Tamandua tetradactyla: one gene and its partners. The protein of the gene in region 1 interacts with the protein of each later gene in a pairwise test. Links are inferred from orthologs where the notes say so. Each region holds a gene or a part of one and is shown in the gene's direction. Other genes may lie near its edges.

The links.
Region 2: the proteins of NUDT18 (region 1) and GLUL interact in a two-hybrid assay, tested with the Homo sapiens proteins (2 studies listed by BioGRID and IntAct). The two-hybrid records come from large-scale screens. The link is inferred for Tamandua tetradactyla from reciprocal best matches to the Homo sapiens genes NUDT18 and GLUL.
Region 3: the proteins of NUDT18 (region 1) and DHPS interact in binary tests that used the Homo sapiens proteins (3 or more experiments, as listed by UniProt). The two-hybrid records come from large-scale screens. The link is inferred for Tamandua tetradactyla from reciprocal best matches to the Homo sapiens genes NUDT18 and DHPS.
Region 4: the proteins of NUDT18 (region 1) and EVI5L interact in binary tests that used the Homo sapiens proteins (3 or more experiments, as listed by UniProt). The two-hybrid records come from large-scale screens. The link is inferred for Tamandua tetradactyla from reciprocal best matches to the Homo sapiens genes NUDT18 and EVI5L.

Annotation. Positions count from the first base shown.
Region 1 is NC_135329.1:22,739,694-22,747,527, reverse strand, and holds NUDT18 (8-oxo-dGDP phosphatase NUDT18), read left to right. Parts: upstream 1-4,740; 5' UTR 4,741-4,775; coding exon 4,776-4,937; intron 4,938-5,755; coding exon 5,756-5,969; intron 5,970-6,202; coding exon 6,203-6,798; 3' UTR 6,799-7,179; downstream 7,180-7,834. UniProt on the Homo sapiens protein: Mediates the hydrolysis of oxidized nucleoside diphosphate derivatives. Hydrolyzes 8-oxo-7,8-dihydroguanine (8-oxo-Gua)-containing deoxyribo- and ribonucleoside diphosphates to the monophosphates. Hydrolyzes 8-oxo-dGDP and 8-oxo-GDP with the same efficiencies.
Region 2 is NC_135330.1:37,223,826-37,231,868, reverse strand, and holds the start of GLUL (glutamine synthetase), read left to right. Parts: upstream 1-4,942; 5' UTR 4,943-5,115; coding exon 5,116-5,138; intron 5,139-6,652; coding exon 6,653-6,831; intron 6,832-8,043. UniProt on the Homo sapiens protein: Glutamine synthetase that catalyzes the ATP-dependent conversion of glutamate and ammonia to glutamine.
Region 3 is NC_135337.1:89,906,987-89,914,086, forward strand, and holds the start of DHPS (deoxyhypusine synthase), read left to right. Parts: upstream 1-3,943; 5' UTR 3,944-4,317; coding exon 4,318-4,524; intron 4,525-4,686; exon of another isoform or gene 4,687-4,799; intron 4,800-4,912; coding exon 4,913-5,077; intron 5,078-5,318; coding exon 5,319-5,440; intron 5,441-5,536; coding exon 5,537-5,633; intron 5,634-5,716; coding exon 5,717-5,803; intron 5,804-6,333; coding exon 6,334-6,439; coding exon of another isoform or gene 6,440-6,458; intron 6,459-6,523; coding exon 6,524-6,627; intron 6,628-7,100. Other genes in the region: GNG14 (guanine nucleotide-binding protein G(I)/G(S)/G(O) subunit gamma-14), read right to left, coding at 386-511, 613-705, 830-865. UniProt on the Homo sapiens protein: Catalyzes the NAD-dependent oxidative cleavage of spermidine and the subsequent transfer of the butylamine moiety of spermidine to the epsilon-amino group of a critical lysine residue of the eIF-5A precursor protein to form the intermediate deoxyhypusine residue.
Region 4 is NC_135337.1:84,256,155-84,263,841, forward strand, and holds the start of EVI5L (EVI5-like protein), read left to right. Parts: upstream 1-4,464; 5' UTR 4,465-4,632; intron 4,633-7,687. UniProt on the Homo sapiens protein: Functions as a GTPase-activating protein (GAP) with a broad specificity.

The DNA of each region.
Region 1 (7,834 bases):
AATGTTGCCAGTGCACGCTGCTTATGCAGGCCACATGGTTTGGGAGGGAGGGGAGCTACGGAGATCTGCTCTGGAGCAAGAACAAGTAGAATGGGGCCGGTGGGCAACCACAGGGGTTAACAGGGACCTCAAAACCTTCTGCTCTTCTTCCCGGGGCCTGGGCCCGTGGCACCCACTGAGGACAAGATGAAGCCTTCTGACCAAAGATGGCTTTTGATAGCAACAGCAGGCAAAGCCGAGCCCTGGAGTTCAGCAGCGAGGTGGCCTTCACGTGCAGCATCGACCTGCAGAGATCCTGGAGCCACAATGCTCCTGCCAAGACCAGGTCTATGTCTGGTCTGACTTGGAGATTGTGGCCTGGGAGAGCCCTTGCCCAGCCCTTCTGCCCTTGGTGCCATGGCCCCAGGCCCAGCCACCCCGGGACTGAGCCTCACAGCTCAGACAGCTGACTGCCTGGCCCCCTCTGCCCACGCCCTGTGACCCCTCTGGTGTTACTCTTCCCCTCACCCCTTCCCTTGAGATCGCAAAATGCTCCAACTGTTGTTATACCTAATTGTTTCTGTGGTGGTTCAGGGAATTTTTTTTATTATTAAATAAAATTTTTTTATTACAAGTGTAATATACTTTCAGAAGATTTAGAAAATAAGAAAAAGTCACCTGGAAGCCTATCTCCAGCATGCTCAGCCTGATCACTATCAGCATTTTGGTATAGTTCCTTCTGGTATTTTCCCCAAGGGTCTATTTCACATGTGGTTGAATTGGTGTTTTGTAGTTGATTTACTTATCTTAATATAATTATTTTTTATGTTGTTACCTAAGCGTCATGTTAAGTGGCTGCTTACAGTCGATTGAGGCTTTGCCACGATTTATCAAGCCCTCTTTCTTCCTGAAATTTAGGTTTCTTCATTGTTTGGTAAATTAGGTTAATTCCATTTTTTCGTGGGATTAAAAAGAAAGAAAGAAAAATAGAGGACTCCTACACTTATAGTAGGCACCACACCAGTATTTTGACATAAATATGATCTCATTTAATCCTTCATCAATATTTTAAGGTAGACATTATTTATTTCTGTTTTAAAGAAGAAACAGGCAGGCTGGGGTTAAGTAAACTACCCCAGGACATTCAGCAATTTTAGTGGCAGAACTGGGATTTGGACCAAATCTTCTGACTCATGCCACCTCGTTTACATGATCGTCTCAGCTCTTAATGCAGTTTAAAGATGAGCTTGCCCTCTTCTCTGTCCTTCCAACATTACGTACTTTCTATCTGATCATCTTCCAAGTAGCACTGAATGACCCATTCCTACTTAGATTTCACCTTATTTGGCTGTGTCCTGATGTTACCCCAGAACCCAAGACACGAGGTCCTTCCTATGGGAGGATGGTCTCTTAATTTTTCCCATTTGGGATGGGGACCACCGAGTCCCTGGGCCTCTCTCTTCACATGGAGCACCCCATCCCCCCCCCAATCCTTCATGGGGGGGGTCACAGCACCATTAAAGGCATAATTGGTCTGACGTGTTGGAATCAGCAGATGGATCAATGTTCATTTATTCCAGAGATGGACCTGGGAATGAAGCCAGCCCAGGTGGGGAGTGACCCAGTGCCTCAGGTTGTGGGCAGGGGGTGGCACTGACCCCCATGGAGGCCTGGCCGGCTCAATCCCAGCCCAGACTGCCCTTTGAGCCTCTTGCTTCTCACAGGCCTCTCCTCACTGTCCACCGTCTGCTTCCAGGCCTCCTCATTGACCCAAATATTTAAGAAGCAGAACCCTCAGGGCTGGCGGGGAGCTCATAGGATGTACCTCCGATGCCTTCTTTTCCTTTTTCTTATAAAGTAAGGTTTTGGAGACTTATTTTGAAATAATTTTAGATTTACAGAAGGATTGCAAAGATGGCATAAAGTTCCCATTTACCCTTCACCCAGTTTCCTCTAAGTTAACACCTTACCTAGCCACGAGACACCGATAGATTGATTATTAAGGAAGCAAAAGACTTTCTTGGGATTTCACCAGTTTTCCCACTTACGTCCTTTCTTTATGACAGGATCCAATAGTACCTTGTTTTTACAGTTGGCCTAAGGGGAAGATCTGACCCTACCCCTGAGGGGCCAACCTAGCGGCAGGGCCCATCTGGAAGCCCGACGCCCTCCACAGAAGGGCCTGGAGCTTGCACCGTTGTCCTCCTCAGCCTTCACGTGGGCTTTCAGGGCAAAAAGCCTTACTCTTGGGTAGGCGGCTCTGACCTTGCCCCGCCCCTTCCGGTCCCTGAGGGTGCCAGTCACGGGCCTTTGCGCATGCGTGCTCCTACGCACGTGCCTGTGCGCATGCCTCGAAACGTCTAGCTCGGGCTGGGAATCTTGGGCGCTGGGAACCCTGCACCGTCCCTGCGGCCACCCACCCCAGCCAGTTTTCATCCCTCATGGGCAAAGAGGACACAGAGAAAACGTTGATGAAAGCCTTTTTCTTTTGTGGGGTTTTGTAGTTTTGTGGGGCCATCTTTACCAGTTGGGTCTCTTCACGAATCGAGCTGCATCCCTCGGCCTCCGGGTTTTTCTATCCCAGCCCCCCTCCCTCAGCATTTCTCTTTCTCTGCTCAGTGTCTCCCATGTTACCCAGTCTGACTGTGTTCTCTCGTCCTCCCAATGCCTTGAGAAAAGTCCATTTCATTGTTGTTTCCCTCTGAGGGCTGGGTACCGACTACCCCCAAACCCCACCCATCCCATGCAGCCCTTCACGGCTCACGAGGGGCTTCGCATTCCTTTGCCTCACGTGAGGCCCTCTGGAGAGAAGCGGAATGCTTTTCCTCTTCGGCATTGATGCGGGGAGTGGAGCCGCCTTGGCACTTCCAGGCGGTTAGGCCGTCTGTTGTTTATCTCAGGCTGCTTGTCAGGCTTCAGATCCTTGCCCAGACGTGACCTCACTCTCACTCAAATCATCCCTGGGAGGCAGGAAGGAGTCTGGGAACAACGCTGTCCCTACTTCACAGATGGGAAAACTGAGGGTCACACACGGGCAGCAGATTTGTTGACAGGTCACTCTGTAGTCTTGGGGTCCCGACTCCACCCTGTACAGTCAGGTGTCTGGGAGGTGAGGTGGTGTTGGGTATGGCTGGGGCGGCAGCATTCACCAGCTGGCCTGGGGCAACACAGCACCCGGTCTCCTGGGAACCCGCAGTCAGTGCAGGATGTGAGAAGGGCCTGTGGAGACTGAGAAGCTGGGGTTGCAGTTTCTGAGAGTCAAGTCTAGTCCTATAGTGGCCCTGTCGGCACATTCATGAGGGTAGGTCCTACTTTGGCCGCAGGAGGGCCCTGCCTGGAGGCTTCGTGGGCAGTCTGGTGATGGTGCATTGCTCTGCCTGAATGGACGGTCCACAAAGCTCCTCTCCACATCTCACCGTACCCTCCCCACAACCCTGTGAAGGAAAGGGTGCTCTACAGATGAGGAAAAGGAGACCTATAACCTGCCTGAGGACGCAGAGCAAGCCAGCAAGCAGTGGCCGGGCCTTATGGCTTCAAGGCCAGTACTTGGTCCTCTCCATCACAGCCAATCTCACCAAAAAACAAGAGGTGCACAAAGCCAGCACGAGGGGAAAGAGAAAAGGGGGGCCCCTACTCGGGGCGAGGCACATAGAGTTTGCTTGCTTCCCAGTTTCATTCCAGCTGGCCCTGACTTCCTGTCCTGAGAGGAGGTTAAAGGAAGTTCTGCAGAGGAGAGGTCAGGCTGGGAGAGAAGCAGGAACTCGCCCAAAACAGCCCACACCCTGCTCTCACTGTGCCAGCCTGTGCGTGCTCCATGGGAGGGCAGCAAAAACAGAGCAAGACACCCCTTTGCCCTGGCAGGGCCCACAGTCTACAGGGGAGAGGGGCCTGGAACCACCTGGAAATACACGGTGGGCAGAGGGCGGGGTAACATAACGGCTCGGCTGGCAGATTGAAGATCTTCTCTGAGTCTGTCCCTGAAATCCCCTCCTTCCCTCCTCAGCCCTGCCCCACCTTGTCCGTCCCAGTGGTGCCCCCTCCCTCCTCCGAGCTCCTGTCACACCTCATACCCACATCACTCACTTAGCCCTTGGCGTACACCCCTGGGGTGACTTTTCCTACGTATATGTCCATCTTGCCAACTAAGTGGGAATCTCCTCTACAGCGGGGGCTTACGGTTCCCCCTGCTATGTTAAATCCCATACAGTTTAGTGAAGAAAGAAGAAAGAAATCTAAGAAGTGATCTTCTGGGGCAAAGCCATCGCATGTTTAAGGCGATCTGGACAGTCCAAACCGCGGGCCTCCGTGACGTCATCGGGCTTGTGACGCCACCGTCGCCGGCCGCGGTGGCGTCTCGCTGCCCCGCAGGCAGGATGACGACGCCGTCAGAACCCCGCAGACCAGCGCGCGCTAGCCGAACCAGCGAGGTCGGGGGCGGGAGACGTCCGAAAAGACAGAGCAGGGCGGGTGGGACAGCAGCGGCGGCGGGGCAGGGGTCTGCCCGGGTCCCCGCAGGGGTGCCGCGTCCCCTTCCAGGCTGGCCCCGCCCCCGTGCCCGCCGCGGGCCAACCTATGTAGGCGGGCCGTGGTGACGCGCAGCCTCTCCGCCGCGAGCGCTCGCCCGGCTCTTCCGCGTCCGCGAGCGCGCGCGGACTGAATCGTCAGGGGAAGACGGAGACGGACCCCCGCCCACCTTCCCCTCGCTCGCCCCCTCGTCCCCCCCCCCCCCCCCCGACCTCTCCGCCCCGACTCAGCCCGCTCTGCAGACTGCGGGCCCGCCGCCCGCAGGGGCCTCGATGGCCTCGGAAGGCCTGGCGGGGGCGCTGGCGGCGGTGCTGGGGGGCCGGGGGCTGCGCGTGCAGGGCTGGGACTCGGTGCCCGCCGAGGAGCCGCCGGCGCCGGTGCGGCTGCGGAAGAACGTCTGCTACGTGGTACTGGCGGTGTTCCTCAACGAGCAGGTGAGCGTCCCAGCGGGGCCCGGGGCCGCCAGCCCGCCGCCCCGGCCTCGGAAACGCCAGTGGCCTCACCCACCGCTTGCTTGTGCGGGGCGCTTTCCAGTAATTTAGCAAAGCACTTTCACTCACACTTGCCCCTGAGCCTGGTGGCGGTCCAGCCCTGCAATTATCCCTATATGCAGAGAAGGAAACTGAGGCCCAGGAGCTTCGTAGAACTTGCTCCTGGCGTGTCAAGCCCTTGAGCAGAGGGCTGTCTTATTCCTTCTTTGCCAGGAGGTTGGCACAGTGTCCGGTGGATTCTCGGCCCTCTTAAAGGTCTGTGGAGTGCTTGAGAGAGCTCCCCTGCATCCTCCGGATGGGAATGGCGGAGCCCACGCTCGCACTCAGACGTCTGACCTCCTTGTCCAGTGCTCTTTTGGGTGCTGATGCCTGTACACGTTCCTCTAATAACAGCTAGTAAGGGACAGGGCCATGGTTGGGCTGGGTTGCGGCTGGACACGAGCATTTGGTAAACCATCTGGGGAGGCGACAGATTCACAGTGACACGTCCACAGACATGGTAACCTCACCCTGGGGTCTAATCCCCGGCCCCTGGAAGCAGCCCCCAGGAATCTCAGCCCCTTCCTGAAATGGAAGTCTCTGAATCCAAAGAGGGCCCAACTGCAGACAAGAAACAGCCTCACACACAGCCCTGTCCCCTGGAGAGCTCAGCAACTTGAGGGTATCCCTCAGGGCTGACTGTTGCTGTCATATGGAGAGGAAGGGCCTCTGCTTGTGCTGTGCTCTATGGTGGGAGGTGAGGATCCTCTGTGTCCCCTCAGGATGAGGTGCTCCTGATCCAGGAGGCCAAGAGAGAATGCCGCGGGTCGTGGTACCTACCCGCGGGGAGAATGGAGCCAGGGGAGACCATCGTGGAGGCGCTCCAACGGGAGGTGAAGGAGGAGGCCGGGCTGCAGTGTGAGCCTCTGACCCTGTTGGCTGTGGAGGAACGGGGCCTCTCCTGGATCCGCTTTGCATTCCTGGCTCAGGCCACAGGTATGTCCCACCCAATGGCAGTGGGAGCAGGAAACGATTGACACCCCTACTCCCACCCCATCTCATGCCTGCTTGTCCTTTGGTGAGATGAGCCTCTCCACAGCCTGGCATGGCCCAGATTCCACCCTGAGAATTTCGGTCTCCTCCCTGGGTATCCATTTTATTCTGCCAGATCTGGCACTTCTTTCAGCACAGACCCTTTCCTCCCCTCTGCCCTCCAAATCTCCCCTTAGGTGGAATTCTTAAGACTTCAAAGGAGGCAGACGCGGAGTCCCTGCAGGCTGGCTGGTATCCACGGACCTCCCTGCCCACTCCACTGCGAGCCCATGACATTTTGCACCTGGTAGAGCTAGCTGCCCAGTATGGCCAGCGAGCCAGTCACCCTCTTATTCTGCCTCAAGAGCTTCCCTGCAGTCTGGTTTGCCAGCGGCTCGTGGCCACCTTTACCAGTGTCCAAGCTGTGTGGGTGCTGGTGGGTACAGTGGGGATGCCTCACTTGCCCATCACTGCCTGTGGCTTCACCCCAGTGGAGCAGAGGGGTGGCATCAAGATGGCCATCCTGCGGCTGCTACAGGAATGTCTGACTCTGCACCACTTAGCAGTGGAGACCAAGGGGTTGCTAGGACTGCAGCATCTAGGCAAAGACCATACAGATGGCATTTGCCTAAATGTGCTGGTGACAGTGGCTTTTCGGAACCCAGGTATCCAAAATGAGCCCCCAAAGGTTCGGGGTGAGAAATTCTTTTGGTGGAAGGTGATGGAGGAAGACCTACAAAGTCAGCTCTTACAGAGGCTTCAGGAATCATCTGTTGTCCCAGTCAACAGATAGGAAGGTGCCAGAAGCGGGCAAGAAGCTGGACATCTGTGTTTCCACGATGGTTTCGCCATTCCTCTGCCAAGAGGCAAGAAGTTGGAAATCTGTGATCCTCTTGCACTGGGGTTCTCCTGGTTCTCAGAGGGATTCCCATCTCTCTTGACAGAAAGGACAGTGCCTTCAACCAACCAAGGAGTCAAAGGCCCAACTGCCCTGAAGCTCCTTGTCAGGGAGGTGGGGACTTTCTGACCCTGCCCTGGCACACAGTCTTCATTTTCTGTGCCCACCTAGAAAAGGCCTGCATCTGAATCCTTTCAGGCACTTAGAGCATGGAAGGGAAACTGGGGGAGGTCCTCCGAGTGAGGGTCCCTTGCTGAGTAAACGGGTGTCGCTTACCTCCCCTTTGCTGCCTAAATGTCTCCGTGGGAAGGAAATGAGCAGGAAGGTGGGATGGTTGTCAGAAGAGAAGCTGCTTCCCTTGTTCCACTGACAGCCACCAGGCCTTTCCCTGACAGCATGCCGAGGCTCCAAGGTCAGGTGGGTGGGTGGCTGGACAGACCGGCTCACGAGGAGGCCTGAGGTCTGAGTGTGGGGGGTGCCCTTCTGTCACCTGGTAGGAAGGGATGTGACTGGGGTGGTGAGAGGGAACAACATCCCTTATTAACCAACTCTAACCCTCTCACTGCTTGAACCCTGAGAACTTCCTGGAGAAATTTCAGATGGGAGACAAGCTATAAAGTCTGCCCCTGCTTCTTTACTTGTGCATTTTTCTCCTTGAACTTCTTGGGCTCAGATTCCTTCCCTGTCATTTGCCAGCCCCCAGGCTTGTGCCTCTGCCTTTTTACAACTTCAGCCCAAGCCAGACCAAAACCCTTTCTTCATCTTCCACCGGCCCTACTGAATCATAGTTGGATTTCTTTTTTTCTTTTAAAAGAACTTGACTAAAATTTAAGGGAGAACCAATGGAAAGTAACAAAGAAAATACACTGTGTGCTATTCATTGTATGTATCATACAGATTTCTGATTCTAAGCAGGGAAACCCTTGGAGGG
Region 2 (8,043 bases), on another chromosome or scaffold:
CTCAATGAAACCCTTCATTAGGGCGAAACAGATATGGCTGAGACTTAAACTCTTAATTTCCTTTTCGAAACTTAAGAGCATCAAACAATCAAGACAGGATATACAGAGAAATTCCTCTGTGCCCAGTGTTGGATATTGAATTGAGGTATAACCTCAATTGCTTATACCTGGTCTTTTTTTGTCTTATGTTCACGGTAGTGAAATCTGGAAGCTTAGGCCACCTGCAGCTTCTCCCCAAAATATGGTTTAGGAATAATGACATCAACTTCTAGATATATTTGTTTTGCTTTTTTTTTTCTTTTCCCATCTTTTGTTTTATTTTTGTTTTACTTTGCCTAAAGATTATGCTGTGACTCTTCCTTTGAGAAAGAACTGGTGATGGGATTACTAAAAAGCAAAACAGAAAAGTTCACAATTCTGGGTTGGGTCTCCACAGAGTTCCTCAACCCTGAGTCTCAGCCATTGTCTCTTTAGCCCTCCTGTACAGTCTCACTAGACAGGTGTTGTAATCGTTCAAATACAGGGAGACCCGCTATAAACTATTTGAGTTTCATCCCAAATCTTGTCTCTAATGAAGAAATGAGAGCAAGGCCTTGGGAAGGTGCCTTCAGATCACTAGCCCCAGGGCTTCAGACCTGTACAGTGAGAATAGGTCCTGTGAATAAGAGAGATTGAGAGGAGAAATCACAGGCAATGCCCTTCCAAAAAAAGGCCTTTATTTCAGGCAGCAGAGGAACACCAAGAAATCATTTTAATCCCTAGTCATTTCTACAGATTCGGAACAAAGTCTACTCTCACTGCTGCTCTCCCACTCCACCCACCCCTGGACCAAAGCTACTCTGAGAGAGAGCCATGACTTCTGAGCCCAGGCAATAGAACCCCTTGTCAGCTTTCATGCTGTGTACCAAGAGAGAAAAGTTTAAGGGTGCAAGCATGCTGATGCGCTGTTTATGGGGGCAGCGAGAAATGGGGGTGGTAGCAATTTAGGGAACAAGGAGACTGGGAACAAAGGGCAGCAGACACAGCGAAATCAAACCAAATGAAACAGCCTGCTCCACTTGCAACTTCTCTGAATGTACAGTCTGGGTTTCTGGGGGCAATTAGTTAAAGGACTTTCTTCTGCTTTTTCTTCTCTCGTCTACGCTTCAGCTTCTCTGGGACTCCTCTGGGCCCTAGTTCGGCTGGTTTAAGTAAGTGTGGGGTTGACCAAGGAGGACAAGGCCTCTTGTTCACTCCTGAAAGAGTGAGTGGCCACATATTATGTTCCTAAGCCTCACAAAGCATGCCCCTGGTCACATGAATGGATCAAAGCAAATCCACTTCCATTCCAGGAAAAGCAGCTCAAAGCACATGTTCTCTTGATGGTGCCGCTGTCATTGTGTGAGGTCAACAAACATCATTTATTGAACACTCACTTTGGATACCGGCAAGGGATATGAAGATGAATAAACTGCTCAAGGAGGTTATGACACCTAACAAGGGAAGCAGGCACTTGCCCAGCAAAATAAACCAGAAGCTGTATTTGCTTCTAGTAGTCCATTTTCTATCACTGCCATCTCCTAATGGAGGGAGGGGCTGTGGTGATGGATGCAGTAGAAAGCACTGGTTTATATCTCTGGTAGTTTTGGCATTTGGAAATTAACATCTTTTAAAATAAGAACATCACCTCTTCTTACTCCACACCCATCCCCACCCCCACCCCCGGCCATTTAAATTCAAGGCTTTACAGAAAGAAATGGAATTAAGACAGCTTACTCTGTTCCCAGGTAAAGCATTACACTGAGTCAGAAAGTTGTTTTGGTTGGGTATCAATTGAATGGTCGCTACAGGCAAAGAAATAATCCAGTCTCATCAGATCATCCCGGGCCTGTCACTGCTGTAACTAGGGTGGACTAAACATTTACTGTTTTCCAAGTACTATCCTAAACACTTTTGCATCTGTTATCACAATTAATCCTCACACTATCCCTATTAAATTTTTGTTATTCTATTTTATAGGCAAGGTAACTGAGATTTAAGGAGGTTAAGTAACTCGGCTGATACAAAGCTGTTAAAGAGATAAAGCCCTGATTTGAACCTACGTTTGTCTGACCCTAAACCCTGTCTTTAACAATGGCACTATAATGCTACAATGTGCAATACTGAAATTTAACATGGAATCCCTTACATTTGTAAGGTTCTATACCCAATCCAGGATGTCACCAGTCTGAAACACACCAAACGCCCCCGCTGGACGTGAATGCTACATTTGTCATTTAAAAGCACTACAGTACTCAGATGCACTCTTAAAGGAAAGGGATGTTGACCAAAGAACCCAGGTTATGTTTATGGTCACCAGCAACGTTTCTTTTCCATGTTTGTGGTACAAAAAACAACCAGAAGAACAAACTTCTTCCTTTCGTGTCCCAAAACCACTGAAAGCATAAATTCTCGGTCTCAAAGACCAAGACTCAAAGCCTGAGAAAAATCTGTCTCAAATGTTAGCACTTCTGGAAAAGCAATAAATTCACACCTCCAGGTGAATTGGGGGCAATAAAAATAGATTAACTGAGTAATAGTAACTGGTAGAATGCAAACATAAAATATTATTTTTTGTAGTTTGCCATGATCGTGCATCTTTGGCAAGCATTTTCACCATTGAGTTTACACATACATTCTCTCAACCATCACAGAGAGGCTGAGGAGAGAGGGGGTACGTATTCCAATTTACGGATTAAAAAGAAGGAACAATAAGTCACCTGAAAGGCAAAAGAAAAGAAAAATTGTTTAAGGAATGCTAGAATGCTATTTTTTTTTTTTTTTTTACAAACTCTGAGCTTCGAAGGGGTAATTGGAAGATCTCCGTTTCCTCTCAGTGCACTTGGGATCAGCTTGCACATAGAATTTCAAATCTGGTGGGTGGTTCTAAAAGGTCATCCTCTGAACAGTTTTATTTTGCAGATAAGCAAACTTGGGCCCAGAGTGGCTGGGTGACTTGCCTGACAAAGACGGTATCAGACAGGTCTCCTGACTTTGTTTCCACCGCCCGCCAAAATCCACTCCATGGAACGATGATTAAAACTGTGCAGTAACAATTGTGTTCTCTTTCCAAAATTTCCTGAGACAACCGGGGAGGGGGGCTGTCCTAGGGTTATGAACCCCGGCTCACCTTCAGGAGCCCCCTCTCTTTGCTGCCCTCTTCCAGGCCCCTGCTGCACCCGCCGTCGCCCAGGAAAGCCCAGGGCTTCCCGGCACCCGCACCCCGCGCTCCCTCTCTAGCGTAACGCGAGCGCGCCCCGAAGTAGGGGCGGGAAGGCTCTCTAACAATAAAGGCCAAAATTATTGTTCAGTGGCTCAGAATTTCCAACCGCAACTCTGGGGCCCGCGGTATGACATCGTAAAGGAGGACTCTCCTTGCAATGCAATCGGAAGGCAGCAGGGGCTGGCGGTTTTCTGGGAACCTTCTGCCTCGGGGGGAGGGGGCTGCAAGGGCCGCCCCGGGTCATGCCGCGGTTGTTTTGCTCGAGCCGACTACAGGCGGGGTCCTTTCTCGGCAGGAACTCGCGCCCTCTGCACGCCAGCAGCCAGCCCTTCTTTTCCTTCCCTCCGCCCCCTCCCCCACGCCCCTTTCTCTTTCTTTCTTTCCCGGGCTCGCTCCCCCCACCCCCGCGGCGCCTGCACGCCTCGTCGCCCAATGGCCACCGGGCTCGGGCGCACATCAGCTGATCTGTCCGCGCTCCCGGCCGCTCGAAGCCAATCAGGGCGCCGGGGGCGGCTCCCGGCCGCAGATAAAGGGTGCCGGGCCCGAGGGGACCCGGAAGAGCCGAGAATGAGAGAAGGGTTCAGCGTGTGACCTGCACACCCGGCCTCCTCTCACTTCGCTCTCGCGGCCTTCCCTCCCTCTGCCCTGCCTGCTGCACAGGTAAGGTTCCCGGACAGCACAGAAGGGACGCGCGCGGGCCCCGCCGCCTGCCCCTCGGTGGCACTAGGGGCCCTTCGTGCGGGTTTGGCTCCTTCTCACCTCCTGTCCTCACTTGTGCGCTGTGACCTCCTGGGCTCAGGAGGTCAAAGACGCCCGGGCCTCCCGCGTGGCTCCGCCGTCGGCGATTCCCGGAGGGTCTGGGTTGGCGTTTTGGGGGCGCGCCTTTCTCGAGGTGTTTTGAGAAGGGGAGGAGGTTGTTCTGATCTTCCTTCCGCTGCTCGCGGCCCAGAGGGACGCCCAGGAGACCTTTCAGCGGGCGGGACCGTTGAGCCGCCGGCCCTGGGCGCGGTGGTGGGGTTTGGGCTGTCGGTGGAGCCGCCGTGTTCCCGCTGCAGGAACGCACGCGGGGGCGCTGGGCAGGCGCGGGGTCCACCCTCTCTTCTCGGCGGTGGCAGCTGTTGGGGGGGTGGGGTCCTCGTGGTATTATCTTTTTGACGCCCGAGCGACGAAGCTCGTTTAACCAGGAGTGTAGTGTTTGCGCGACCGGCTCCTACCACCGAGTCCCGGGGGGAGTTCTGGACCTTCCACTTGTGACCGAACAATGAGGAGCCCGGGGCCGCGGCTAGAGGCGAGTCCCCGCGGAGGTGGCAGCCGCACGCCGCCCCTCCCGCCGACGTGCCCCGCACCCCCTCCCCTCCGTCCCCAGCCTCTGCCCCCGGAGGGGAATGGCCCCCTCGGTGAGTCCCTGAGACCAGGACCGGGGCCGGAGGGGCGGGGGCCCGACGTTTGGAACACTTCGGGGGGAAAGGACTGCACTCAAAGTGGATTCCAGCTTCGCCGGGGGCGGGAAGCGGGGACGCCCCCCCAGCCGCAAAGCCGAGAAGAAGTATGATGCGGAAGACACAGAATCGCGGTCCTCGGGGTCCCCCAGCAACTGCTTCGGTTTCGTCGCCTATTCGGTGAACCCGGGAGAGAAATCGCGAGTCAAGATTAAGACCCTGACCCACCAGCCCGCGTATCCCAGCACCACCCGGTCAGAGCATTCTCCGTGCCCTGCCCCGTCCCCTTCCCCGTGTCCAACCCCATCCCCCTGTCCATCCCCGTCCCCAACGCCCAGAAAGCTCCGGTGCTTGGACCAGCGAGAGTCCGAGAACGAAGAGAGGCGTGAACCCAAGTCAAAAAAGAGGACTCATAACGAGGGCCACCCCATCGATATGGTTAACCTCCTATGGCCGGGGTGAGTGAGGGGCAGGGAGGAGGACTCCCCAGCTGGTGGCAGCTGCAGAAAGAGCTCAAAGATTTAAAATTTAAGCTCTGCGGCAGCACCAGTTGCTATTGTACAGCAGGCTGCTGGCAACCTACCCGGCTCATGGGAGAGAGAACAAGACACTTCACCCGGACTGGAGAGAAGCATGGCTTGATGTTGGAGGTGTATCAAGTTAGGAGGAAAGCTAAAAGACTGAGTTCTCACTTGTAGTTGGAGCTGAAGGGATCAGAGATTCTGGTCTTTCGGGGGCGGGGGGGGGGGGGGGTTGGTTGGGGGCGTGGAGGGTGGCATTTGACCTACCAAATCTCCTGCAATAGGCAGAAGTATTGGTTTTCCTCCTATAAGACTTGCCGGAGGAGGTTCTCCTCTAACGCACAGGGAAGGGTGAGGCTGTTGGAAGGAGAAGCAGTTATGTTTTCAGCTGGGCAAACATGGATGGTTGCCCGCAGAAACTTTGCCACTGTACTTTAGAAAGTTGCTCAAGTCATTGGAGGAGAACAATGTGTTCCTTTGCAGCCACCCTGGGGTTTGGAGCAGGGGTGGGGTGGAGTGTGGAGAACATTTCCTCTAACCATCCAGGCCGGTTCTGTGGCTTTGGGTTCTCTTCTTTCCGAGGTCTGGTGGTGGCGGCTTGCAGTTTTTAGCATGCATCAGACCTTTCCAAATCCCAGATCATGTTGGTTTAAGAAGCGAGAATTCCCTTATTATTTAAAGTTGGCCAGTGAAATCTGAGAATATTGTGATTCTCACTTTCTGAATTAAGTTAGACTTTGCATTAGACCAGTGGAAATTATGGCAGTGTTCCCCTTAGAATATGCCTTGGATCAGCTCTTCTATCTTGGTGATATTGGTAACTGCAGTCTTGCTTTTAAGAAGCCTCCAGCCTTTTAAATCTTTCTAGTGAAGGCCCTTGTTTAACCCTCAAATCTAAATGCATGTTGTTGAGGGGGATGGGGAATCGCCAAAAAGGGGTTGTTATAAAAACTGCAACTTAGGTGAAGGAACACTCACTGGACATGATAGCAGCCAAGCTTTTCTGTGGCTAGATATTATTTGTGTTGATTGTATCTGTTTTCTAAATTTTCTCGAGTAGAACTTCTGTAGTATCTTAGCATAAAATGTTTTAAAACAATTCCCCTACCTGTGCTGAGGGGAGTAGAGCTTAATCTCTCAAGCCCCAAGGATGCTGAGAGGCCTCAAGGCTTATTGCCAAGGGCTTTTCTCTTGCAAAGTTGATCGGATTTTTACAGCCTAATACTATCAGGAGATTTTTGACTAATATAAAAACGTTGATCCTCTTGAAACCAGAGTGAATAAATACACCTTTGGGTGTAGGATTTCCAGTGGAAGGGGCTGCCCCCACCCCACTCTTCTCAAAGGGAGCATCTGCCTTGGATTTAAATTTCCCTCTTGAGCCATCCCTGCAGGGGGTTCAGTTTGGAGTCCAAAGATTGGTTTCCAGATGTTCTTCTTTTTCTCTCCAGAACACCTTCCACCATGGCCACCTCAGCAAGTTCCCACTTGAACAAAGGCATCAAGCAGTTCTACCTGGGGCTGCCTCAGGGCGAGAAGGTCCAAGCCATGTATATCTGGATCGATGGCACTGGGGAAGGACTGCGCTGTAAGACGCGCACCCTGGACAGTGAGCCTAAGTGCATAGAAGGTGAGAACTGGGCTGGGCTGGGTGGGCGCAGTACGGGGGGTAGGCTTTAGACCAAACTACTCAATGGGACCTCTTTATTTTTGTGTTTGTAAAGATTTTCTAAGATGGGCCTTTTCAGGCCTCATTCAATCAACATTTATTAACCTCCTACACTGCCTCAAAACATAGCAATACTCGAACCCTTTATTTAAGTGGAATCTCGCATGTAGCCCAATATATTGAAGAAAAATAAAGGCTCAGGTTTGAGCCTGAGCTTTGCCAACTTGGCTGTCCCTTAGGTGGCACCCCAAGGAGCCCAGTTGGACGACCATTGCTTTAACCTGAATACGCCATCTAGTTTACAAACTGTTGAATGCTTCGTTTCGTATTCATGTTGTACAAAGCATATACCCTAAAGTGGTTTGTGAATAGGACTAATCATTCATTTGTTTTCAGTTAGTACCGCTTTTGGAAATTCTTAAATCATCTGATTTGCTTATTCCACCTCACTAGGTGCTGCTTTATTAGAGTTGTAACCTTCAGTTTTTCTCCTAAAGGAAGCCATAGCCCTGCCCCTTCTAGACAAAATCCAGAGAGAACAAAAGAAAATATCACCTCCCGCCTATATTAGGATAGCGTATTCTTCTGATAATGTTCACATGGGAGTGAATGAGTGAATGAACTACCATAACATAAAGTATACATTATGTGCCTGCTACATGGCAGCTGCTGGACTAGGCACTGGGAAGGCAGAGTTCTGGGTCTGTCTTCAGAAAGCTCATTGTTGGCTGAAGGGACCCAAAAAACGGCCTTTAAAACAGTGGGAAAAGTGCATCTGAACAGATGGTCTTTCCTGTGGTAGGGTGGATACGGAAGCAATCCTTGAGTAAGTTAATAAGGACGAGAGTTGAGCTGAGACAGTCCATAAAGACCAGTGGGGGAACAATGGCTGGTGAACTAGTGGGACGATCAGAAAATTTTGTCTTCCCCTGTCTCAGTATTTTAAATGACTGACTTCACTAGTGACATCAGATTTCAGTGTGTCTCCTTGGTGTGCTGTAGGCTTATTTAGGGAAGAGACATTCTTTTGACTGTAATTTCCTTGAAGGAAGTGATGCAGTCATCTTACTGTCCTTGAAGGAAGTGATGCAGTCATCTTACTGGAAGTTTAGTAAGGAAGGACTGCAGAGCTAGGTGCATGCATCAGGTTTACATTCTGAGAGTGGCATACAT
Region 3 (7,100 bases), on another chromosome or scaffold:
GGCGTGTTTCCATTACAATGACTGCTGTGTGTGTGTGTGTGTGTGTGTGTATGTGTGTGTGTGGTCCTGGCGTGTTTCCATTACAATGACTGCTGTGTGTGTGTGTGCGTGTGTGGCTTGTCTGTGGGCCTGAGTGTGTGGTCAGGGACTGGAGGGCCTGAGGACATAGGCACCTGTTTTTAGGGCTGCAACTCTGCGTGGGTGATGTGTGTTGGCGCAGGGAGCCCGCTGGCGCTGCCCTGTGGGGGTGGGGAGGCGAGGGAGGGAGTGGGACCAGTGCCCCCCTGCGGCCTGCGACCCTCTGCCACAAGGATGCTGCCACCTGCACGCCCACCTCCCCAGGCCCAGCCACACCCCGGGCAGCGGTCACTTCATGTTTATTGGGTCACAGGATGGCACAGGGCTTCTTCTCCTTAAAGGGGTTGGTGGCAGCCGGGATGCCCACGAGGAAGGGGTCGCTCTTGGCCTGCTCCGTGCAGAACTGCAGCAGGTCGGCGGCCGCCTTGGACACCTGGGGTCGCCCCCCCACATCCCGTCAGCCCCGCCCCGGTGCTCAGCTGAGCCCTGCACCCCCGGGGCGCCCCAAGCCACCCCGCTGGGCCAGGCCCTCACCTTCACGCGCTCCAGGCCCACCTCCATGCGTAGCTGCTCCACGGCCCGGCGGGCCTGCCCGATGTCACTGCCAAGGGCCACCTTGCTGGACATCTGGGGAAAGGCGAGCTGGGGGTGGGCGGGGGCCTGGCCCCAGAGCCCCAGACCCTGTACTGCCCTCAGGCCCCTGGGGACTGCAGGGGAGCGGCTCCCTGACCTCCCCCCAAGGCCACTGTACCTCTGCTGAGGACTCAGCCGATCCTGGCCGCCCCATCCACCGCCAGCTGGGTTCTGGCTGCCTCTCACCCCCACCTGGCCTCCCCTCTCCCAGCCCCTCCTCGTCACCCCCCGCCAAGGCTTTGAAGCCAGGAGGCTCCCTCACCATGCAGTGAAATGTCACCAGCCTCAGCTGCTGCTTGGGCCAAGGGGGTCCCTGCCCCAGGAGGCCCCTGCGGTGGCCCTGGTGTCACGTGTCATCTAGATCCCTGGGGGATGGGAGCCCTGCAGGCTGAATGGCTTGGCAGGCGGAATGCAGGGGTGGGGTGGGTTGGCCACTCCATGGTCTGCTTGACCCCTTGCTATCCTTTCCCCAACACGTCTCCTTGGCCAGGCTCTGCCATCCCCTGTGTGCGGGATTGCAGCAGGGCAGCCCTGCCTTTCCTTTCTGTCTACACCCACCGCCTGGGTACAAATGACTCCATACACCCAGAGAGCGGACTTCCTCAGTCCCTTTCCCAGCCGTTCCCTGAATTACAGACCTGAGGTCCCACCTCCTTCCTTGGTACATCCTTTAATTCAATCAAAGCTAGACTCTGTTATCTGTCTGCCCAAATCTTATGTCCCCCCTCCCCTGAGTTGAAGTGCAGTACCCTCCACTCGACTGCTCAGGGCCAAATCTCCAAATCCTTTTCTGCCCTTCCTTCCTGTTATCCCCACACCAAATCCTTTCTCAAGTGCCATCAGGGGAGCCTTCAAGTTGGATTCTGCATTGGTCACTTCCGCCCACCCTGTGGTCGCGTCCCCCTTCGCTTGCCTGGCCCCGGGCAGCTGACTCAGCCCTGCCGGCCCTCTCCAGGTCACACCTCGGCTCTCCTCAAGGCAGCCAGTGGGAATCTCTTAAAAAATACATCACAGGCTCTCGATCTTGCTGAGACTCTCCCAACGTTTTGCTGCCCCTTAGAATGAGATTCACCAGTGCACGCGGGGTCCTGTCTAGGCTGGACTCTCCTGCTGTCTCTGAATTCATTTTCGCACCACCCTCTCTGTCTCTCATTCTTCACTTACCAGCCTGATGCCCTTGATTTCATTCATTCATTCATTCGGCACACTTGCTGAGGTCCTTGTATTTTCCAAATACTGCTCAAAAAGCAGGAGGTGAAATGGTGAAATGAGACAAAATCCTGTCCTCACTGAACTGCTATTCTAGTAGGGGAGGGACAGACAACCAGTGAATAAAATACACGTTATAATGCAGACATTTTTGTATAAAAGCAAGGGGAGGGCAAAGGGGAGTGGCCAAAGCAGGCCAAGAAGGTGATAAATGAGCTGAGACCCAAAGGAGCTGCAGGTCAGGAGAGAGGCTGGAGGGTTCCAGGGGCACATGGAGGCTGATGTAGCTGCAGAGAAATGAGCAAGCAGAAGCTAACGGGTGTTGGGGCAGGTCAGCGGTGCCCCTAGAGGCCAGGGAGAAGTGGCTGGATTTTATCCCAAGGGGAAGTCACCCTTAGAGAGTTTTAATGAGGAATGCTGCATGTGATTTATGTTTAAAGAAGGGCTCTCCGGCTGCTGTTGGGAGACAGATTGGAGGGGAGGGAGCCCAGTGTGGAAGCCACGGGAATGAAGAAAAGTGCGTGTACCTGGGACCTATTTGATAGGTAGAACTTAGTGGGTGTGCTGATAGAAGGGTGTGGGGTCTGAGAAAATGGAAGACCTCAGGTTCAACTCCATAGTTTCTGGCCAAGTGGAGAAGTGGAGGTTGAGGACATTGGTTGAGATGCAGAAGATTGTGGGAGGATCAGATTTAGGTGAAGAGGGGAAGGATGTATTGAATTTGAGACCCAAGTAGGGTGTTAAGAAGGATGTTCTGTCTGTCCTATAAAGTGGGCTCATTGCCAGCCTCAGGGCCTTTGCACTGCTGGGGGTGGGGGTGAATGCCCTCCCCTGATTTCTTCACATAGCGGTGGGTCTTTCTTGGCCTTCTGGTTTTGGCTCAAAACCTCCCAACTACCTGTCCATCCAACTGAAGTCGCCAATCACCCCAATTACTCTCCTACGTCACCCTGTTTAAGTCCTGAATAGCATTTACACTGTTAATTTTCAGACTGTGGGCTCCTCGGGGGCAGAGGTCAGTCTTGTTCACTGCTAAACCCACAGCACCTAGCACAGAGCCCAAGGCGTAGTATGCCTCCACATATCTTAAGCCAGCAATAAAGGGGTGGCCTGCGCACAATTAGAGAGATGCTGTTCTAGTTTGCTAGCTGCAGGAATGCAATATACCAGAAGCAGAATGGCTTTTAAAAAGGGGAGTTTAATGAGTTGCTAATCTACAGTTCTAAGGCCAAGACAATGTCCCAATTACAACAAGTCCATAGAGATGTCCAATCAAAGGCATCCAGGGAAAGATACCTTGGTTCAAGAAGACCGATGAAGTTGAAGGTTTCTTTCTCATCTGCAAAGGCACATGGTGAACACGGTCAGGGTTCCTCTCTCATGTGGAAGGGCACATGGCGAACATGGAGTCATCTGCTAGCTTTCTCTTCTGGCTTCCGGTTTCATGAAGCTCCCCGGGAGGCGTTTCCCTTCTCCATCTCCAAAGGTCGCTGGCTGGTGGACTCTCTGCTTCGTAGTGTTGCTCTCTCTGAATCTCTCATTCTCCAAAATATTTCCTCTCTTATATGACTCCAATAAACCAATCAAGATTCAGCTTAACAACCACTCCTGACTAAATCCCATCATCCAGGGAAATGATCTGATTACAGTTTCAAACATACAGTATTGAACAGAGATTATTCTACCTTTACGAAATGATATTTTGATTAAAACATGGCTTTTCTTAGGGGGCATACTTCCTTTCACACCGGCACAGATGCGCATAGAGGGATGCAGGAGCCACAGACCCGCCTTCAGGAGTCTTACAGTCTCCCTGGGGCGGGGGTGAGGGGAAGAGAGGGGGAAGAGCTGTCAGAAGAGATCTTTGGGCCAGTCTGGAAAGTCAGGAAAGGCTTTCCAGAGGTGACAGCTGCAGCTGCCGGTGGAAAGGGTTGTGCAGCACGTGGTGGCATGAGCAGAGATCAGTGCCATGTGACTAGAGAGGATGAGAGGCAGGAAACTGTATCTGACTCTGCCTGGGGACCCAAATCCTGCCCAAGGGCCACGCCTAAGAAGTGGTACTCTCCCCAAGACAGAATTGGATGGCGGAAGCATTGCACAACGCGCTGGTTTCCAGCAGGCAGCAGTAAAGGTAGGACTCTAATCATATGAAGCTGAGAACGTGCAAACCAGGGAATAGACTCCTCGCTTCCGTACAGCCGCGCAAACATGGCCACTCCCTGGGCGCCACAGAGAATCATGTGACTGAGCTACTTCCGGTCCGTCTCCCCGAGGTCTTCCCGAGCCCCATTTCCTGCGCTCCGGCAATAGAAGCAAGCGGTTGTGGGACCCGGCACGTTAAACGCCGCCGGAGGCCCGCCGGGGGGCGGCCGTGACCTGGGAGCGCCGCCGCATAGTATGGAGGGCCCCCTGGAAGGAGGGGCGCCCGCGGCGGCGCTGGCCGCCGTGCTGAAGCACAGCACGGCGCTGCCGCCCGAGAGCGCCCAGGTCCGGGGCTACGACTTCAACCGCGGCGTGGACTACCGCGCGTTGCTGGAGGCCTTCGGCACCACCGGCTTCCAGGCCACCAACTTCGGACGCGCGGTGGAGCAAGTCAACGCCATGGTGAGGCCTGAGGCGGGACTTCCGGGCCCGGGGAGGAGCGTGGTCTGCCGGGGGACCCGTGCTGTACCTGGGTTAGGGGGCGGGACTTCCTGCGGGCTGGGTGGGGCGTGCCATCCGATGGGGCGGTCCAATCGCCGGAGAGAGGCGGGGCCTGTCCTGGGCGAGCGTTTCTATGAGGGCTAGACTTGCAAAGGAGATGCTGACTCCAGAAAGGCGGCTACTCCTGAGCCCTCCCCTGAGGTCTGGGCGGGGAAGGAGGCGGGGCCTGGCACCAGGTACAAGTGGTACCCGATTCCTGAGTGGGCAGGGCCTTGGGGGCGGGGTCTGCCTCTGGGACCTACCCGGGGCCTTTGGGTTGAGCTCAAGCCCATCGGGCCCCTCTACCCAGATCGAAAAGAAGCTGGAGCCGCTGTCGCAGGACGAGGACCATCATGCGGACCTGACCCGGAGCCGCCGCCCGCTCACCGGCTGCACCATTTTCCTGGGCTACACGTCCAACCTCATTAGCTCGGGCGTCCGCGAGTCCATCCGCTACCTCGTGCAGCATAACATGGTGGGAACCTGGCAGGGTTGGGGCCTAGACGCCCTCTGAGTCTCAGCGGTCAAAAGGATCATCGAACGTTTTAGTGAGATGATGGAGAGATGGGTCGGTCCTAAGCAGAGGGACAGGATGCAGTTGATTTTGCAGCAGCGCTGCCCCTAAGGGTCTTGGGGTGAAGGTGGGGGTTTGGAGACCTGCAGGCTGAGGGCAGGGATCCCCTTCCCTGGCCAACGTTGCCACCTTCTGGCCACAGGTGGACGTCCTGGTGACCACAGCTGGGGGTGTGGAGGAGGATCTCATCAAGTGCCTGGCACCCACGTACCTGGGGGAGTTCAGTCTCAGGGGGAAGGAGCTCCGGGAGAATGGGATCAACAGGTGTGGGGGAGGGGTGCTGGGTGGCCTGGGTGGTGCTGGGCAAGGGGGCTGGCCCCAGGGCCCTGAGGCCTGATGTCCACCTCCTCCTGCCTCCAGGATTGGGAACCTGCTGGTGCCTAATGACAATTATTGCAAATTTGAGGACTGGCTGATGCCCATCCTGGACCAGATGGTGCTGGAGCAGAACACAGAGGTGGGGCCAGGGCCCACCCCCTGGGGGGAGGGTGGCTCAGTGGGAGCCACAGGAAGTGCGGGCTCATCCTTGTCTCCTCCTAGGGTGTGAAGTGGACTCCTTCCAAGATGATTGCCCGGCTTGGCAAGGAGATCAACAACTCAGAGTCGGTGTATTACTGGGCCCAGAAGGTGAGGGGCTGATTCGGGGCACGTGTTAGCTTCCTTCCTCTCCACAGGGGGATGGTGTCCTCATTCTCATTGCCCCCATTTCAAGGTGAGGAGCCTTAGGCACAGAGCAGTTAAGTAATTCTGTTAGACATCACCCAGCTGTTGAGCGGATCTGTTCTCCTGGGCTGCCTGGGAGCAGTTGGGAGCTTAAGTCCGGACAGTGCTTAGCAAGGCCCCTATGGGTGCCTGAGGGTCCACACCCCACAGAGGCCAGGAGGTCTAGGCATCTGTCAGTTAACACAAGCTACTGCCTTTTAGTTGCTAGGCGCTGTCCTAAGTGTTTTGGGTGGTTTGTTAAATGGGCATCATCTTTGGGGGTAGGAGGGGAGGTACTATTATCCCTTGTAGTGCTCTTGAGGAACCTGAGGCCCAGAGAAGTTAAGCCCTCTGCCCCCAGTCAGGCAGGGAGGAAGTGATGCAACAGGGAGAGGCACCAGGCTGCCCGCACCAGGCTCCGGGCCCCAAGCCCTGTCCTGCCCTCCCTCCCCCAGAACCACATCCCTGTGTTGAGCCCGGCGCTCACGGATGGCTCGCTGGGCGACATGATCTTCTTCCATTCTTACAAGAACCCGGGCCTGGTCCTGGACATCGTGGAGGGTGTGTGCTGGGGCTACAGGTAGGGGTCAGGGGGAGGCGGGCCGGCTGGGCCCCAAGCCTGAACACAGCCCCTCACACCCCCAGACCTGAGGCTCATCAACACCCAGGCCATCTTCGCCAAGCACTCGGGGATGATCATCCTGGGCGGGGGCCTGGTCAAGCACCACATTGCCAATGCCAACCTCATGGTGAGAGCCAGTGTGGGAGCTGTGCCCATGAAGTGGGCCTTCTCCCACATGAGGGGAGACAGGTGTGGACTGGATGGGAAGGCCTCCTGGCCTCTGGAGACTAGTGGGGGAGGGAGGCGACACGTGAAGCACATGGGTGCTGTGACAGGGTGGCAAGAAAAAGGGGTGCATGAGGGGGGCTCTTTTAGGAAGTGTGACCTGTGAGTGCCCGAGTGGGTGGGAGGAGGGCTGTTCCTGGTATAGGAAACGGCCAGAGCGTGGGGGGGTGATGGGGCAGGTGGAGTGGAGCCTTGGGACCGTGCATAGGATTTTGGCTTTTACTCTGAGGAAGGTGGGAGCCATGGAGGGCTCTAAGCACAACAGGGATGTAACCTGATGCAGGTGTTCACAGGTGCCCTCTGGCTGCTCTGTGCTTGTGGGGGGAGGAGGCATCTGCCTTTGTCCCAGACCAGGCGGGTATCAGGAAGCAGGGA
Region 4 (7,687 bases), on another chromosome or scaffold:
AAAACCTAAAATTGTGGAACTGTAACCCATACCAAACTCTGAAATCTGTTCTATAACTAATTGTTCCAGTATGCTTTGAAATTTATTGTTGTTTTGTATATATGCTATTTTTCACAATTAAAAAAAAAAAGATATATACACAAGACCACAGCAAGAAAAAAGGTTGCAAAGATATTCTATAGAGTATATATATTTGTAAAATGGGACAGATCAGTTTGTGTGGTCTGAGAGTGGGATAACTGGGGATTGTTTCAATTCAATACTTTTATTATGTTCAGGGGCTCTAGTCATGGGTTGTTGAGACTCTTCAAGGAGCACTAGGAATGGGCAGAATTGTCATGGCAGGTAAAGCCAGGGGTAGTGGACTGTGGGGTGAATGCAGGAGGGTTCAAGGGACTCCAGAGGCCTTGGGTCTGCTAAGTTGCATTACCTTGTAGGGCTCCAGGAAATGGCAAGTCCATATTAGGCTTTGTGAATGCTGTACACATGTGAAGATGTATCAGTTAGCTATTGGCTGCATAACAAAGTGTCCTAAAAATTAATGGCTTAAAAATTTTTGTTTAGATTACAGTTCTGTGGTTCAAGGATTTAGGTTAGTCTCAGCTGGGAAGGTCATTTGGGCTCTTTTACGCATTTGTGGTCACCTGATAGATTGGCTGAGTCTGGTACCCTTAGATAATGTAGGAGTTTTAAAACATAACTGAAAATACTTGACAATATTCCCATCAAGTTATGAGGTCTACTTCCCTCCCCTTGAATCTGGTCAGGGTTGGACAGCTTCAATCAATAGCATAGAGCAGAAGCAGTGTCATATGACTCCAAGGCTAGATCATAAAGGTCCATGCAGCTTCTAATTTATTTGATGAAAGACTTACTGCCAAAGTCTTGAGATGTTATATCAGAAGTCTGACTACCTGTGGCTGCCAGGGTGGAAATGTCATGTAAGGAGATCAAATGGAGGGTTCCCAAGAGAGATCCCCAGTGAGACCCGAGCCATTTAAGTCATCCCAGTTCAGCAACCAAACATATGAATGAAGCAGCTCCCAGATAACTCCCCCTAGCCCCAGACCCTTTAGGCATGTACGGCCATGCAACTCCTCCCAGCTGAGTTCTGGACCTCATGGAGCAGAGACAAGCATCCCTACTGTGCCCTGTCCAAATTCCTGATCCACAGAATTCATAAACATACTGAAGAGGGTTGCTACTTTAGGGAAGGTTTGCTACATAGCAATAGGAAACTTCAACAGATGACCTCATTCATGGTTGAAGGTTGTTTGGCTGGTGGTGGAGACCACAAAGGCGGCTGAGCCTTGTGCATCATCCAGGCTAGCTCGGGCTTGTTCACACGATGATGAGAGAAGCAAGAACAGAAGCTTCAAGGCTTCTTTGGCCCAATCTCAGAATGAGCACAGCATTTCTGATACGTTCTGTTGGTCAGAACAAGTCACAGGCCAGTCCAGATTCAAGCAGTGAGGGGAAACTACACCTCTCAATGTAAGACGCTACGAATTTTGTAGTCTTCTTGGTTACCTATGCGACAAAATTACGAGCTCTGAGTCCACATTGATCAGCATTCCTAACAAAAGAGTTTGAGCCCAAAGTTTGGTCCAGAAAAAAATGGTTTTGATTGTGGAAAAATGTGATCAGCTAGGCACTAACAGAAGAGTCTTTTAGATAAATTTAAATATGCAAAATTTGGCTTAGAAGAAATGACAGCCATATCAAAAAAAATCACTATGGTAGAATCTATAGTTGGCGAAAATTGAATAAAGCGATCTGATTAACGATGCAAATGTTCACTGTAAAAAATCACATGGGAAAGAAGTGTTCCTGATTTTAAAAAAAGTTCAAACAAAAATGAAATTTGAAACATTTGGAAATGGTTTAACTATAATGAATACAAAAATGATCCAGGAATACAACTATTTAAATGCAGTTTATGATTTAAAAGCCTTTTCCAACAGGAATTTATTGGACTTTTTCCACTTGTGCTCATAAAAATGGAATCAAAGTGTTCCCAGAATAAAATCATCCTTTGTGTCAAAATGGTAGTGTGAGAATGAGAGAGTCCTAACATCCAGTGCAACTCTTTGCATCTGATTTTATTCCCCAGATACCAGTGGCTGCTTATCTCCCTAGCAAGTCCTCTGAAACTGGTCCTGATTGCTTTCTAGCTGCACTCAAGACCCCGTCCAGCTGCACTCCAGAACCCATCCAGCTCTGAGCCTCCCCAGGCTTCTCTATCTCCCAGGTCCTGACTACTGTTGAAGGACCAGAAGCCTGGGGGTTTCGTTGCTGAAAAGCTGTGGCTCAGAGATTGTTCTCTTCTGTGATCACGTGCATAGTGGGGCAACCCCCTAGACTTTGGATCTTTGCGATGGCTCTTTAGTCCCCCAAGCTGAGGGACCTTGGGCAGCCAGACTCAGGAATCACCCCTTGTTTGGCCTCCACTGCACCCTGCCCTTCTCACTTAACACCCTGCATCCCATCACTAACTACATCCACAGAGTCCATGGTCCCTCCCAGGGCAGCTCAAGCTCTGTGAATCAGGGGACAAGGGCAGTCAATGAGCGTCACTTCAGTTTCACCCTCTGCAAAGTCAACGTCGCTTTGTGACTTTGTCAGGACTATAATATGCCTGGCACATAACATGGCTTTAAAGGGAGGGAGGTGAAGACGTGTTTCGGAAAAAAAAAAAGTGTGGTATGGGGAGGGGAAGGAATGCATTTTATTTATCTTTATCACCCAAGTTTTCAGAGTTTGGGGTTTTCTTAATCCAATGTTCTGGCATTTTAACAAATACGGTATAGAAAGGGAGAGGGAGGGAGAGAGGGGAAACATCGAGGCAGAGAGAATGTAGAGAGTGACACAGAATCAGGGAGTGGGTAGACAGGAGATAGGAAGTGTGTAGACAGGAGCAGAGTGGGTAGACAAGGACACGAGCGGTTGTAGATAATGGCAGATTGTCGACAGGGGCAGGTAGAGTGTAGATAACAGCAGTGTAGATAGGGAAAGAGATAGTGTCGACAAGAGCAGAGTAGACAGGCAGGGTGTAGAAAGGAGCAGAGTGTAGACGGGGCCAGAGAAAAGTGTAGACAGGGGTAGAGAGAGATAGACAAGGACAGGGAATTTGGGTGGATGTCAGGCATTGCACCTAGACCAAAACCTCTTACTATATTGATCTCAGACCTGACATGCTGGGTCCCAGACTTCCTTCCGTATCTGTCTTCCTATTTGCAGCCCGAACCTGATCACTGCTATGCTACCGTCTCCTGCCTGGCGGAGTCCTTCCCTGCCCCATCCCCTCCTGGGCCCGTCCCTGAATCTTGGGCCACGTCTCTGCAGAGTTTTGCCCACCGGCAGTAACTGTCTCCGTATGTTCTTCGCCAGCCTGAGGACCCCCGGCCTTCACTTCCGTGTTGAAAGCCTTGAGCCCACCATTCATTGATTTATTTCATTCATCAAACATTTATAAGCAGTTACCACGTGCCGGGCCCCTGCTAGGCAATGCTGGGGACCCCGGGAGATCTGACGTAAGCCCTGTACACCCACGTCCCCGAGGAGCTGCAGGTCTGGGGAAGGTGCGGGTGAGATGGCGGTGCAAACGGTGACAGTTCAGAGATCTCAGCGTTAACACAAAGCGTTGTGAGCCACAGAGAAGACACGTAACCCGGGCTAGACAAGGGCACAGGACGGGTCCCCGTTTTCAGGGTGACCCCCCACACACACCCCAACCACCCCGCCCCCGGCACAGTGCTGGACTCTGAAAGGATGCGGTCCCATCACCTCCCTTTCTGCCCTAGGTATTTCTCGGCAACGCCCCTTCTCGGACTCGGGCAGGTAGCCCCGCCCAGGCCTGACCACGCCCCATCAGTGGCCTAGGCCCCGCCCCTTCCTCAGCCCCTCCTCCATTCCATTCAAGCCCGGAGTCAAGCTCCTTGCTCAGGAGGCCAACTTCACAAGAACTTCACGATATCATTGGTCAGAGGGTGTCACTGCAACTCCCTCCTTCATAGTCATTGGCTCCTTAGGTGTCAATCTTTATCGCGCCCCAACAGTTGCCATGGCCGAGCAGATAATAATGGACATCTCAGGACGTCTCGTCATTGGCAGAAAGCATGGCTCTGGGTGGAGCTTAGTGCCAAACGCTTGGCTGTCTCTGGCTGGTGTTCCTCAGGCCCGCAGCCTTTCCGCAGCGACACACCTCTTTCCTTGCTATTGGTCCCATCGGGTGTTGATCAACAGGGTTCTCTTTCTGATAGGTGAATCAGCCTGTCGCTCACGGCTTCCCTAATTTCAATTCGCTTCTCTTCCAAGAGGCGGCAATCTTCTGACCTTAGCCAGTCCCGCCTCACGGAGTGGCCACCGATTGGCTAGGTACGCCGTCACTCCCGGACGGTGGGCGGAGCCTCACGCTCGGGGGTGGTGAATTGGCTGGCCGGGCCTCGGGGGCGGGGCAGCGGCTCCTGTCAGCGGGTGAAATGGCAGCGGCGGAGCCGGCTGCGGCCGCGGTCCCGGGGGGAGGCTGAGGGGGCCGGGCCGGGGCTGCGGGACGAGCGGTGCAGCAGGGGTCCGGCGGCGCGGCCCGGGACGACGAGGCTCGGCACGGCGATGGCGGCGCGCTCGGCGCAGGTAGTGTGGCGCGGGCCGGGCCTCCGGGCGCTGCGGCCCGCGGGGGTTGGGCCAGACCGCGACTCCGGGCCGCTCGGGAACCCGCGCGGGGAGCCCCGGGCATTCCCAGCCCCGGACCTGGACCACCGCCCACCCTCGCTCGCGTCCCTCGGGACACCTCACCACCACCAGGGGTCCTCTCCGCGTGAGGCCCCATCAGGCCCATGACCCCCGCCCACCCTTTCCACCTACCCTCAGGATCCCTCCTAGGACCCTTCGGAGACCCCGACCCCTACCCCGCAGACCCACCTCCTCCCACGAGGGACCCCCCCAGGCCCAGGACCCCTCCGGTCTGCGGGATTCTTGCCGCCTGACCCTCCCCTCGCTTTACCCTCCAGTCTCCTAGCCCAGACCTGCCCCCACCCCCGGGAAGGCCAGCCCCAGGGCCTGCCCCCTCCCCTCTGATCCCACGGGCCCCTCCCCTCTGACCCCAAAGGCCTCCTCCCATCAGGACGCCCGCCCACAGGTCTCCCTTCAGCCTGCTGGCCCAGCTTCCACCCCAGACACCCTGTGCCCAAGGGCGCCCCTCAGAATCATTCCTTGGGTCCTCCCAGGACACCCCTGGATCCTGGCCCGTCTTGATCCGGTCTTACTGAAAACCACCCCTCTCCTCATGCCCAGACATCGGGATACCCCCTCCCCACCCCCAGACGCACGTCTTTCTGCAAATCCCAGACACATACACAAGCACATCTGGGAGCCTCCAGTTCTCACCCATGAGCCCCAACAACTCGTGCTGGCAGTTATGCCGACCCCCCCCTCCCAACACATAGAAGCCAGGAGCTCCCAGGTCCCCAACGCACACAGATAAATTTGGGACCTCTGACACACACCCCACCTATCTCCCCTATACACAGACACCCACACCCAGGACTTCTCAGCACTCCCACAAACCAACTTGGACCCCACCTGCCCAGGCCCTTTAGGAGCCAACAGGTCCCACCTTAGGCAGCCAGCCTGTCCAGCCACACCAATCTCCCTGAGCCGGGCCCCACATTGGGGCCCCTGAGGGTGGCAGGGACCCAACAGCTCTTAGCGCCCCTGTGGGCTCCTGCCCCAGGCTTCTTTATCCTTTAAAGTCTGACTGCTTTGCCCTTCTTCAAAGGGAAGGACACTCACTCCCTCTCCTACATCAAAGTGTCCTGAAAGGCACTACTGCCTGCCCCCTAATTTATGCCACCCACTGTTGGGGGGAGGGACAAGCAGGGAGGGGCTCAGGCTGCCCATGCCCCCGTCCTAAAGTCTGACCAGACTGGTAGGACCAGCATCCTGACCCCATTGCACCTGCTGGCCTCAGATGCAGCCAGCACCACCATCCAGGCTGCTCAAGGGACTAGCTCCTCATGGCCCAGTGGGTTTTTTTCATCCACTATGGACATGCTTTGCCAAAATGAAATGGCTTCCTGCTATCCTGGCCTTTGGGACCCTGTGGAGCTGGGTTTGGGCCTGCCCGGAGCAGGCATCTCTTTGTTAAGGAATATTTTCAGAAGGGGAAAAAAAAATGTGCCGAAGAGGCTCAGGAGGCACATGAGTGAGCAGACTGTTTCATTTTACTCTCAGCCAGGCTGCGATGGAGATAGAGGACCCGTCTCCATGTGTCTTTCCGGGTTGTGCTGATGTTCCCGCCCAGCCTGCCGATTCCCCGTGGGCTCCTGTGGTTGACTGGGGGTGGTTTGGAAGGAATCGCAGGTGGCTTGGCCCCGGGTCAGGGATGGTGGTGAGACAGAGAGGAGAGACTGCAGAATGGGTGAGATGGTGTGGCTGGAACTGCAGGGATGAGAAGCCCCCAGGTCCCACCATGTGGAATCAGCTCAGTCCGGCCCCTGCATGGCCTGACACCCATGTGTCTGAGGTCCTTCTAGTGATATGGTCACACCTGCAAAGCCCCAAAAAGTCATCACAAGCCTGGGCTTCGTAGTAAATATTCAGCAATGGAGTCTGAGTGGCCCTGGGTCAAAGCTCATCTTGGCTCAGTACCTCAACTTCCCCATCTGGCAAATGGGGAGATAGATCTGTAGCATAGTACTTTGTACCGCAGGGGCCCCTGGGAGGGCTGAATGCTGTCTAGGCACTGTGTGGGAGGGGACAGTGGGATCTGGGAGGACAGTCCCCTGTCAGTGGGAGCAGAAATACTGGCTACCCTGGCCCCCTGGTTGTAATTGGATGATACCTCACTGGTCAGTGGCCCTTTTTCCCTGGCTGAGCTGCATTACAGGAAGCTGGCTGGAATTGGGATTGGTAGGAGGAGGATAAGAGATGGCTTTTTGTGGGATTTGTGGCCACGCAGGGACCTCCAGGGGAGTGAGGGGCACAGGGGTGTGGCACTGCTTGCAGGTGGTGCTGACGCCCCCACACCTCTGATGCTGGGTAGGGAGAGGTGTGTTCTTTGCCTCATCCGAAGGAGTGGATGAAAAGACTCCTGAAGGTCACATGGTACAGAAAAGATAAATGCCACAGCCTCCCCAGGTAGGACTTTGTGTGGACAAAGCAAAGTAGGAAGGTTCCGCAAGATAGAGCTATGAACTTTTTGGGGAAACCAAAGAAGGCTCTCTGAGAGGACTTATGAATGATAACACGGTTTTACCCTCAACTAGGGCTACAGGTCCGTGTGTTTGAGTGTGTGCTTTAGTAGGCGCATGGGGGATAGGGAAGCAAGTGTGCTTTATTTTCCTCACGCAGAATATTCATGCTGATTGTCCCCAAAGGATGCCCACCATGGACCAGGAATTGAGTCATGTGCTGGTGTACAAGGGATATAAAATGTGGTCCCCACCCTGCCTCTAAAGACTCTCTCAATACTATGAAGCAGGAGTTGAAACCATAGCCTCGTTGATCGGACCCATACCACGTGCTCAATGCTGTGCCATTTTTGTATTATCTCATTTAGTCTTCAGAACAACCCAGAGGCTTGTTACAGCACAGGCCTTTACTTTCACATCCTGCTGTCTGCTATGCTGGAAGCATCAGATGGAATTATGGACAGTATCCTGCAGGCGCACAGAAAAGGGCCCGGCAC